Coturnix japonica: one gene and its partner. The protein of the gene in region 1 interacts with the protein of each later gene in a pairwise test. Links are inferred from orthologs where the notes say so. Each region holds a gene or a part of one and is shown on either strand. Other genes may lie near its edges. The genes, in order: BMX and PTPN21.

The links.
Region 2: the proteins of BMX (region 1) and PTPN21 interact in binary tests that used the Homo sapiens proteins (3 or more experiments, as listed by UniProt). The link is inferred for Coturnix japonica from reciprocal best matches to the Homo sapiens genes BMX and PTPN21.

What each region holds. Positions count from the first base shown.
Region 1 is NC_029516.1:109,895,419-109,899,736, forward strand, and holds the start of BMX (cytoplasmic tyrosine-protein kinase BMX), read right to left. Parts: upstream 2,965-4,318; coding exon 2,827-2,964; intron 1,835-2,826; coding exon 1,730-1,834; intron 1-1,729. UniProt on the Homo sapiens protein: Non-receptor tyrosine kinase that plays central but diverse modulatory roles in various signaling processes involved in the regulation of actin reorganization, cell migration, cell proliferation and survival, cell adhesion, and apoptosis.
Region 2 is NC_029520.1:39,110,135-39,113,958, forward strand, and holds part of PTPN21 (tyrosine-protein phosphatase non-receptor type 21), read right to left. Parts: intron 3,257-3,824; coding exon 1,785-3,256; intron 1-1,784.

The DNA of each region.
Region 1 (4,318 bases):
CTGTTAGACAGGCCAGTGCCTGTCTCCAAGTACTCAGAAACAAATACTGAGGCAGAATAAAAGCTTGGGGCAGTTTTGGATCAGGGAATTCTGATCTAAAGGTGATGCATTCATACTCTGTTGCCTTGGATATGTTAGTTCAGCTGTCTTTGAAAGCAAGTAACTAGTATCTACAACTTCCCACAGCAAGTAACCCAATAAATTAGCTATACAATATGAACAATCAGCTTATTTTTCTTGTGTTCAACATACTTTCTGCCAGCTTCATTTCATTCCTACCTAATAATTAATAGCATCTGCTTTGCTGTTTGGGTGATACTTAGTATAGGTTGTGTGTGTGTGAGTGTGTGTGTTAAGTCCAGGGCTTCCTTTCCCTTGTGTACATTGCTTTTCAGTCATCTGCAATGCATTTCAAGTATTGCTTTATTGCTTTGTTTGTACACTGAAGAGCACTTGTCATTAAATGTGTACTCTGTCTCGTAAACATACCAGGCTGATCAATCCATTTTCTGGCTCTTTAGTTAAATGGTGGAGCTCTGTGAGCTTTTCTCTTTAAGGCATGTTATCCAATCCACTAGACACTTTGAAGCCTCCCCTCTGACCTCCCATCAGTTTGCAACATCTTTCTTAAATTAGAGCCACCAGAACTAGACTCAGTATTCTCCTGCAGTTCACAGTACTGTCAAAACAGAGGCAGTACAGCCTGCTTGCTTTTATTCAATGTGTGCCTCTGTCAATGTCTAAAGATGCCATTAGCTCCTTTGCCCACAGCATCACACTGGAACTGGTGAAAATCAGCTATCAGAATCCTAACCCCCTTTTCAGAGATCCAGTTTCCCACAATGGAGACCCCATCCTGTGACTGCAGTGTGTATTCTTCCCACTTCTCTGAGTTGTGAATTCCTGAGATAAACACAATAATTCAAGACAAGTGCACCATTCCCTGCCATAAAAGTGGTGAGACAGAAGGGAAAGGAAGAAAGGAATGACGGTTAGGAGCAAGTAGGAAGTGAAAACCTGAGCATTTCTCAAGAGGATGCCTTTGGCCATGGCAATTTTTGCAGAGTCATTGATTAACACACTATCAAGCAGCCTGCTGCTGGTGGCTGTGCTGCTCCAGGTGGTACTCCAAGGGGAACTACGGCCTGTCTGTGCTCAGAAAACTGATACAGATGAAGGCTCTGGGGAGAACATGCTGGGGAAAGAGATAAAAAGCAACAAATCTGAAGTTACGGTTTCCTTATTTAATTCCTGAACAGTGCTTTGTGCAGCTATATTTTCTGGTACATGCACAAAGCATAGCTTTGAATTTACAGACTGAGGCCTAAGAATAGTAATCAGGCAGTCTTGGGTCAAAACCTCAACTTGACACTGGGCAAAAAGATGGGAGAGGCAATAGTGAGAGTTAAAATGAGATTTTTTAAGTCCCTAATTATGCCTTAAAAATTTCATAACCACATAAGTGTATTGATCTATGTATTAAATCAAATATGATAGAAATTTGAACAAAAGAGAAAAAATTCTAGACCCAAATTTTATCCCAACCAAGTAAAAACATTTTAACAAGGTCACGACCTGAGTAATAAGGACAGATTTTCTATTTTTAGGGAGTATGTATGGCAACCAGCCATAGCAGGTATTGGCAACTGGGGCAGGAGTGATCAGTGAAATCCTAGGATGATTTGAACATTTCACATGAAACGAACATGAAACAAATTTCATGACAAACCTGAAAAGGATATTGTCTTGCAGGAGGTGTTGATTCCTCAACATTCACCATCTCAACACATCGGATTTTCTCAATCTCGATAGACCCCTTCTTCCTTCCTCTTTTCTAAGAGAAAATAAAGCAGATTGTAACCTAATGTTAACTCAGTATGGAGCATTCTAGATTTACTGTTCTGTGTAATTTCATGTCTCCAGCTTCCATAGCTTCAAGGTTGTTAAATTTTAATAGTAACAAAAAACAATTTTGGTGCCCCAACCACATTTATATACCAATCAAAATTGCTTTTAAAGTCAATTACAAATTACAGGACACAGCCCTACATCTGAGAAAACATCTGCTGCAGTTGTAAGAGTACAGCTGAAGAAGGGAATTGAAAGGAGAAAGAAGAAGGAGGAATTAAGTGGAAGACACTTGAACTGCAAACCAGAAGCCTAGCTGTGGCATCTGTATTTTTTGCTAAGGTGCAGGAGCATATTCTCAGTGGGTTTCCATGCAGGATCCTAATGAAACATAACTCACCAGAGGGACACAAAAAGAGAGAAAACTTTGAAATAAGTTGCCAGGGTAATATATTTGCATTCCCAACAGGAGACTTTCTGAGTGAAATCTACCCTCATGTGATGCACAGTCAGTCTCTAGAAATCGATAGCTTAACCATCTGCTTTATACGAATGAGGGATAAGATTGGGAACTAATTATGCCTCACACAAGTAATTTCTGAAGCCACTTATTTACATCACTTCAGAGGGAGGCCTGAATGAGGAAAACATCCCTATTCATCCCTATTCAAGACAATATGTAAACATATGCCACAGTTAATTACTTGCTTAAGTTTTGTTGTCTTGCAAAGGATGCAAACAGATGCTCAATGGCAAACATAGCTCTAAGTTGTTCTGAATAGAGACGCTCTTAAGCATGCAGCCAAGTGATTTCTTGAACTGAAAAAAGAATTTGTAACCCTCTAATTTTCCAGTTTTACTCAAAACAGAGTACACCTGCTTTTCTAATGCATCGCTTCTAATCAAGTTTTGCACTAGAAGAATCAGGTGATGGTTGGAATATCTTTGAATAGTTTACTTAAGAAAATGAGTTTTTACCTCTTTGCTGTATTCGTAATAAGAAAGGCTGTTTTTTGTCAGAACAAACAACCTTTTCTTGTAATTAGCTGGTGACATTTTTCTCTTCTGTTGTGACTTCTTTAAAAGAACTTCTTCTAGAATGATCTTTTTCTCCATTTTATTTCCCTAAAAGAACATTGTAGGAATTTTTATTATCACTATTGATAAATATGACAGCACCAACTGTAGAAGAAGTAATAAAGAATATATTGAGTCATTGTCTTCTATATGTGTTTTGAAATCTATAGTAATACATGGTTACAATGCATGTATTTAACACTGCATAAACAAATGAGTTTGATTAACTTATTCTTCAGGGGAAAGAATCGCATTATAGGAAAATGAAGATAAATATATACTGTATTTCTAAATAAGGCACTTCTGTTACTTCACTGTCTGAGCATCTCTTCTTCTAAAGCCATGCACACTATCTGGCAAAGAGCACAGTCTATGCACAAATGTATTACATCTGCAGCATATTATGGAAGTCATTACAGCAGCAAAGAGAACAACAACAACAAAGAAAGCCCTTCTATGTACAGACTAGAAAAACAGACCTAGTGCTGACAAGTTTGTTCCCTGAGCTGGAAATTTTCCATTTCTTTCTTTCAACTGTAACAAATGCACATTTATGGAATGGTGAAAGGTAGAAAAGATCAGTAAGTAAAAATCTTCTTGCACCACATGTAAGTACATGCATAAATGTGTTTTTCTTAACCTTGATTATCATAAAGTAGCAAATACCAGGAAGGATGCAACCTTTCTATAAACTTAGTATGGTTTCAGGTTATCTTACCGAAGTATAAAGACCAAATATCCTTTGCCAAGTGTGCTCTGGAGCTCCAAAGAAAAGTGTTCTACTAGGCTGTGCACTTTATGTGCACCCTTGTTCACCACAGAGAACACAGCAGAAAGAGAATATTTGCATGATGCTTATCATACCCACATGATGTATCCACTGAAACCTAACTGAGCCCAGAAATCAGCAATTATCTACTAGGAACAGTCTGAAGAGGAAAAGTGGAGCTTTATGAGACATGCCTTCACACCTCTGGCTGCCTTCTGTGCGGGTGGACAGAATGCCTACAAACACCTACTATCAATTCCCTTTTGGATAGGCAATGCATATTAGTCCTCCTGGTGGGTCAGAATAAGATCAATTTGACATGTGACATCAGAAGGAGTGACAAGGCTGGGGTAGATTAAAATTGCATTGGAGAAGAGAATGAATTTTCCCCCTCACTTTAGGTATTTTTGCTGTGTTCAGGGGAGGTATTTGCTCTGACTGTAGAAGTCACTAGTGACAAGCTTCATACTAGTTCAGACAGAGTAGCTTAGGGAAGCTGTCTTTGCAATGAAAATATTAGGTTGGTTAGAAGGCATAAAAACCTTGTCATTTCTACAGTAAGAACTACTTTTCTTAACTTCATGCCATCTCATTTCCTTATACTGGGAAAGCATCTAATCTTGA
Region 2 (3,824 bases), on another chromosome or scaffold:
TAAAATGCACATACAAAATATGAACACAGAAGAACAGGATGATTTGAGTCATGAACTGAGAAATATCACCAGGAGATTCTAATGTAAGGATAAATTCAGATTATCCTTTTAGAAAATGTGAGAAAACTATCATTCCTTCAATTGCTCAGTTTAGCTATTAAAAAAACCAAAACCACTGAAAATATGGGCAAATATTCTGCTTGAATGGTGGTCAATGTTTCCAAAAGCTAAATGCCAGTAAAGAATAAGGTGACAAAGTTAAGAGCTTGAGACTGTTTTTAAAAGTGAGCATAAACACAGCAGTAGAAGCTCACTGGAAAGTTGAAAAGCAAAATGGAAAAGGAGTTGCAGGGGCAGCTTTTGCTACAAGGTAGTTCATCTTAATGATGAATACAAAACCACAATTCTCTACTCTGCAACAGTATTCTTAAATATTACTAACCTAGAAAGTATTTCACTGTTAGTGCTCAGTAAGAAGGTTTTAATATCAACTTCATTTCAAATGTTGATTTAAATACTTTCTCAGCTATCACAAAGAAAAGGCAATGTGTGATTTTGGTAGACTCATCAGTGTCTGAAAACATCTTATGAAGAAAAAGAACACAAACTGAGTATATCTAAATGTGAATATAAGGAGAAAGCTATCATCTTTTTTTTTTTAATATCCATGTAACACAGAAGGCAGGAGATTTAGGAAAATAATTTTTAAGTAAATTAAAACTGATTAACTGTGATCAGTTCCACATATAAGTAAGAAGTCTCACATATAGAAAAGTTGAGCACACAGCAATAATTTAAATACACAGTTTACTTCAGGTTAGCTTTTGTAACATCAGCTCTAACAGATACTACACAGCAGCAGAAGCTGTATAGTAGTTCCACTGCAGACTAGTTTGTGCAGAAAATGATTTGACACAAACTCAGGCAGGCAAAGTTAGCAAGAACCAACGGTGGGGAAAAAAAAAAAAAAAAAGCAAACAAATTATAAAAGCATATTTCTCCATTAGCATGTGAAATATGCCAGGAGCTATATAAAAACAAACAAACATACTGAGTGGTAAAGAGTGCAAGTGAAATCATAGAGTCCCAAGTAGAACTTGATGTTTCTATGAAGAGGGGATGGCAGGAAGTGGGAAAACTGCAGTTGTTCAATTGATTTCTTTTCACGGCTTTGTAAGACTGGAGTAGGAGAAAGGGGCATGGCAAGAAGGAAATAACTTCAGTGAGATAAAAAACAACTTGAAGGCAAGGGAAAAGGGGAAGGATATGAAAAGAGGGAGGTACGGAGGAAAGAAGAGTTCACAAGCAAAGAATTTATTGCCTAATGTGTCAGATTATCCTCCTAGGTCAGACTAAGAAGACAAAGGAATTTTAAAAAGTTAAATATTCAGCTACATCTGATTTTTCAGTGAGTTCTAATATTAGAAAGCTGGCAGTGGAACAGACACAGTTGGTTCTGATACAGGTAAGGATAGGGAGGCTAGAATTTGGGATCTAGAACTAAAAACTAGTTGCTAACAAGGTTAGTTATGTCAGATGGATGGAGGCTACAAAGTTGGATTTGTGTGGGAGGACTACACAGACAAAACTCACACACTGCAGAGAATATAAGCAAGCAAAGTTGATGAGAGAAAAATAGAAGAATAAAGATAAAGCTTAAAGTAACTTTCAATTCTTATATTTTAAAAATATAGGTTGATTTAAAAACAAACAAACAAAAACACTTAGAAACCCCACACAGAACATCCTGAAACAACATAAAACAAGAAATAATATCCACTTACACCTAGTGGGGGAAGGCCTTCCACAATATTCTTCTTCCCAGACAAAAGATCGGACACAGGTCTCTTCTTTATTGAAGAAGAATCCTTCCTTAGTCTGTATCTCCCTGATGTTGTAAGGTCAGATTCTGACATAGATGGAGTAAGCAGTCCTTCCCCTCTCCTCTGTATGTGGTTTTCCACTAGTAAATGAACTGGGCTTATATCTTTCATTCTCTTTTCCGTTTCTGTAATATGTAATTTAGGCTCAAGAATATGCAAAGGACCAGCAGATGAAGCAACTGAGCTATAGGGGTAGTTGAGTACAGAATCATGAGAATAGCCACCCATCATGGATGAAAGCTGGGTTTGATCTTCAGGAAGAGGAGAGAGGCTAGTACTAGCTTTATTTTCTTCAAAATCCTCTTCTTCTTCTTCACTACTGTGAATCAGCATAGTGGCATCTGAAAGGGTTTTCTTATGATCACAGTTCACACCTTCATCTTGCTCATTTTCTTTTTGCTTTGTTCTCTCTATCAGAATGTTGGGCTGTGACCCTTCTGAAATAACTCTTGGAAGAGCCACATCTGCTGCAGATGCTGACATGGTCCTCTCTTTTATTCTTATTCCTTCAAAGCTGGGAGCCAAGCCTGCTATTTCAATGCTGTTCCTTTTCTGCAGCTGAGCATGGCGTGCCGATGTTAGAGGTTCACTGACTTCCTGTAGAGAATGTGCCACAGGCAGGCTGTCTTCCTGAAATGTCTGGACAGAATGATGAACTCGCCTCGTGATTAGATCTGGGTTGCTGCTGCTAATGTAGATGTGTCGAGAAAGGTCTGGAGTACTATTTGCAGGTCTTGGATATGGATATGGGGGAGGTGGTCGATAGACTTGGGTCTTCATTATATTTGGTGCTGGATAATCCTGAGCCTGGAGCTGCACATTTGTTAACTCAGGCACACTGACAGCCCCAACAACTGGGCGTTTCTCAGCAGGATAGGGATAGGGGGATGGGCTATGAAAACTGTAGTTCAGGTTAAATGGATAATGGTTAGATTGTGGGGAAGTGAAGTGGGCATGTTCTCGTATTTCAGGTTGGCTGTAAACCAAGGCATCGGGCCTGCTGTAAGCATATGTATTGCTGATGTTAAGATTTCTCATTGAGTGACTCTGCCTATCTGTGTGTACCATTCCTCTATTGAGTTGTCTCATCACAGTTTCATAGTCTGGTGTGGGCCGATAAGATGGTGGAATTAGTGCACTATGTCTATGTGACGGGACATAATCAGTTCTGAGGACATCACTTCCAGTAATGCTTGGGTTAGATGACATGGGGGATGGCTGCAAGTAATGTTGTGGGTTGTTCAAGGAGTTTGTGCTATGTGCACTATAGACACTACCATTGCGGATTCGACCACTGTAGTCATGAGGGGCTCTATCCAAGCTAGTCTGAGAGTGGTAGTAGTATCCATTCTGACTGCTCACAAAGAGGTTATCTGAAAGTAAAGTTTAAGAACAAGTCTTATGTTCAAGACCTTGAACAACAAAGATGTTTTCTTTTAAGATGTTGCTAACTGATGTTTCAGACTTAAAATCTCAGTCAAAATTCACTACATTTTCAATTGGGAAGAGAAAAACCACAGCTTTTTTGATGTTGTAGATACCTAAGGTATATTTACCAGAATAGATCATGCAAATTTCTACTGGAAAGCATTACCTCTGTTTAATAAGGGCTTTCTTCAGTTTATGATAGCTTTGTTAAGTTTAAATTTAGTAAAACCCATCTAAAATTTTAAACAGTTCTAACTGAAAGAACAAACATCTATACCAAGGTCTGCAATACCCTAATGAGATCCGTTTAAATAGCAAGAAAAAACACCCTCTCTTCATAGTACTCTCATCACAAGCACTTTAAAAAAATAAAAATAAAAATCAAGTTAACTTTCACCCAGAAAATTTGGATTCAGTCTGAACAAGAACCATATACAGTTTGTACATTAATATGTACACCACTGATGGGTAAAGAAAATTTTCTAACAGTTTATGGACAATATACATTTAGTA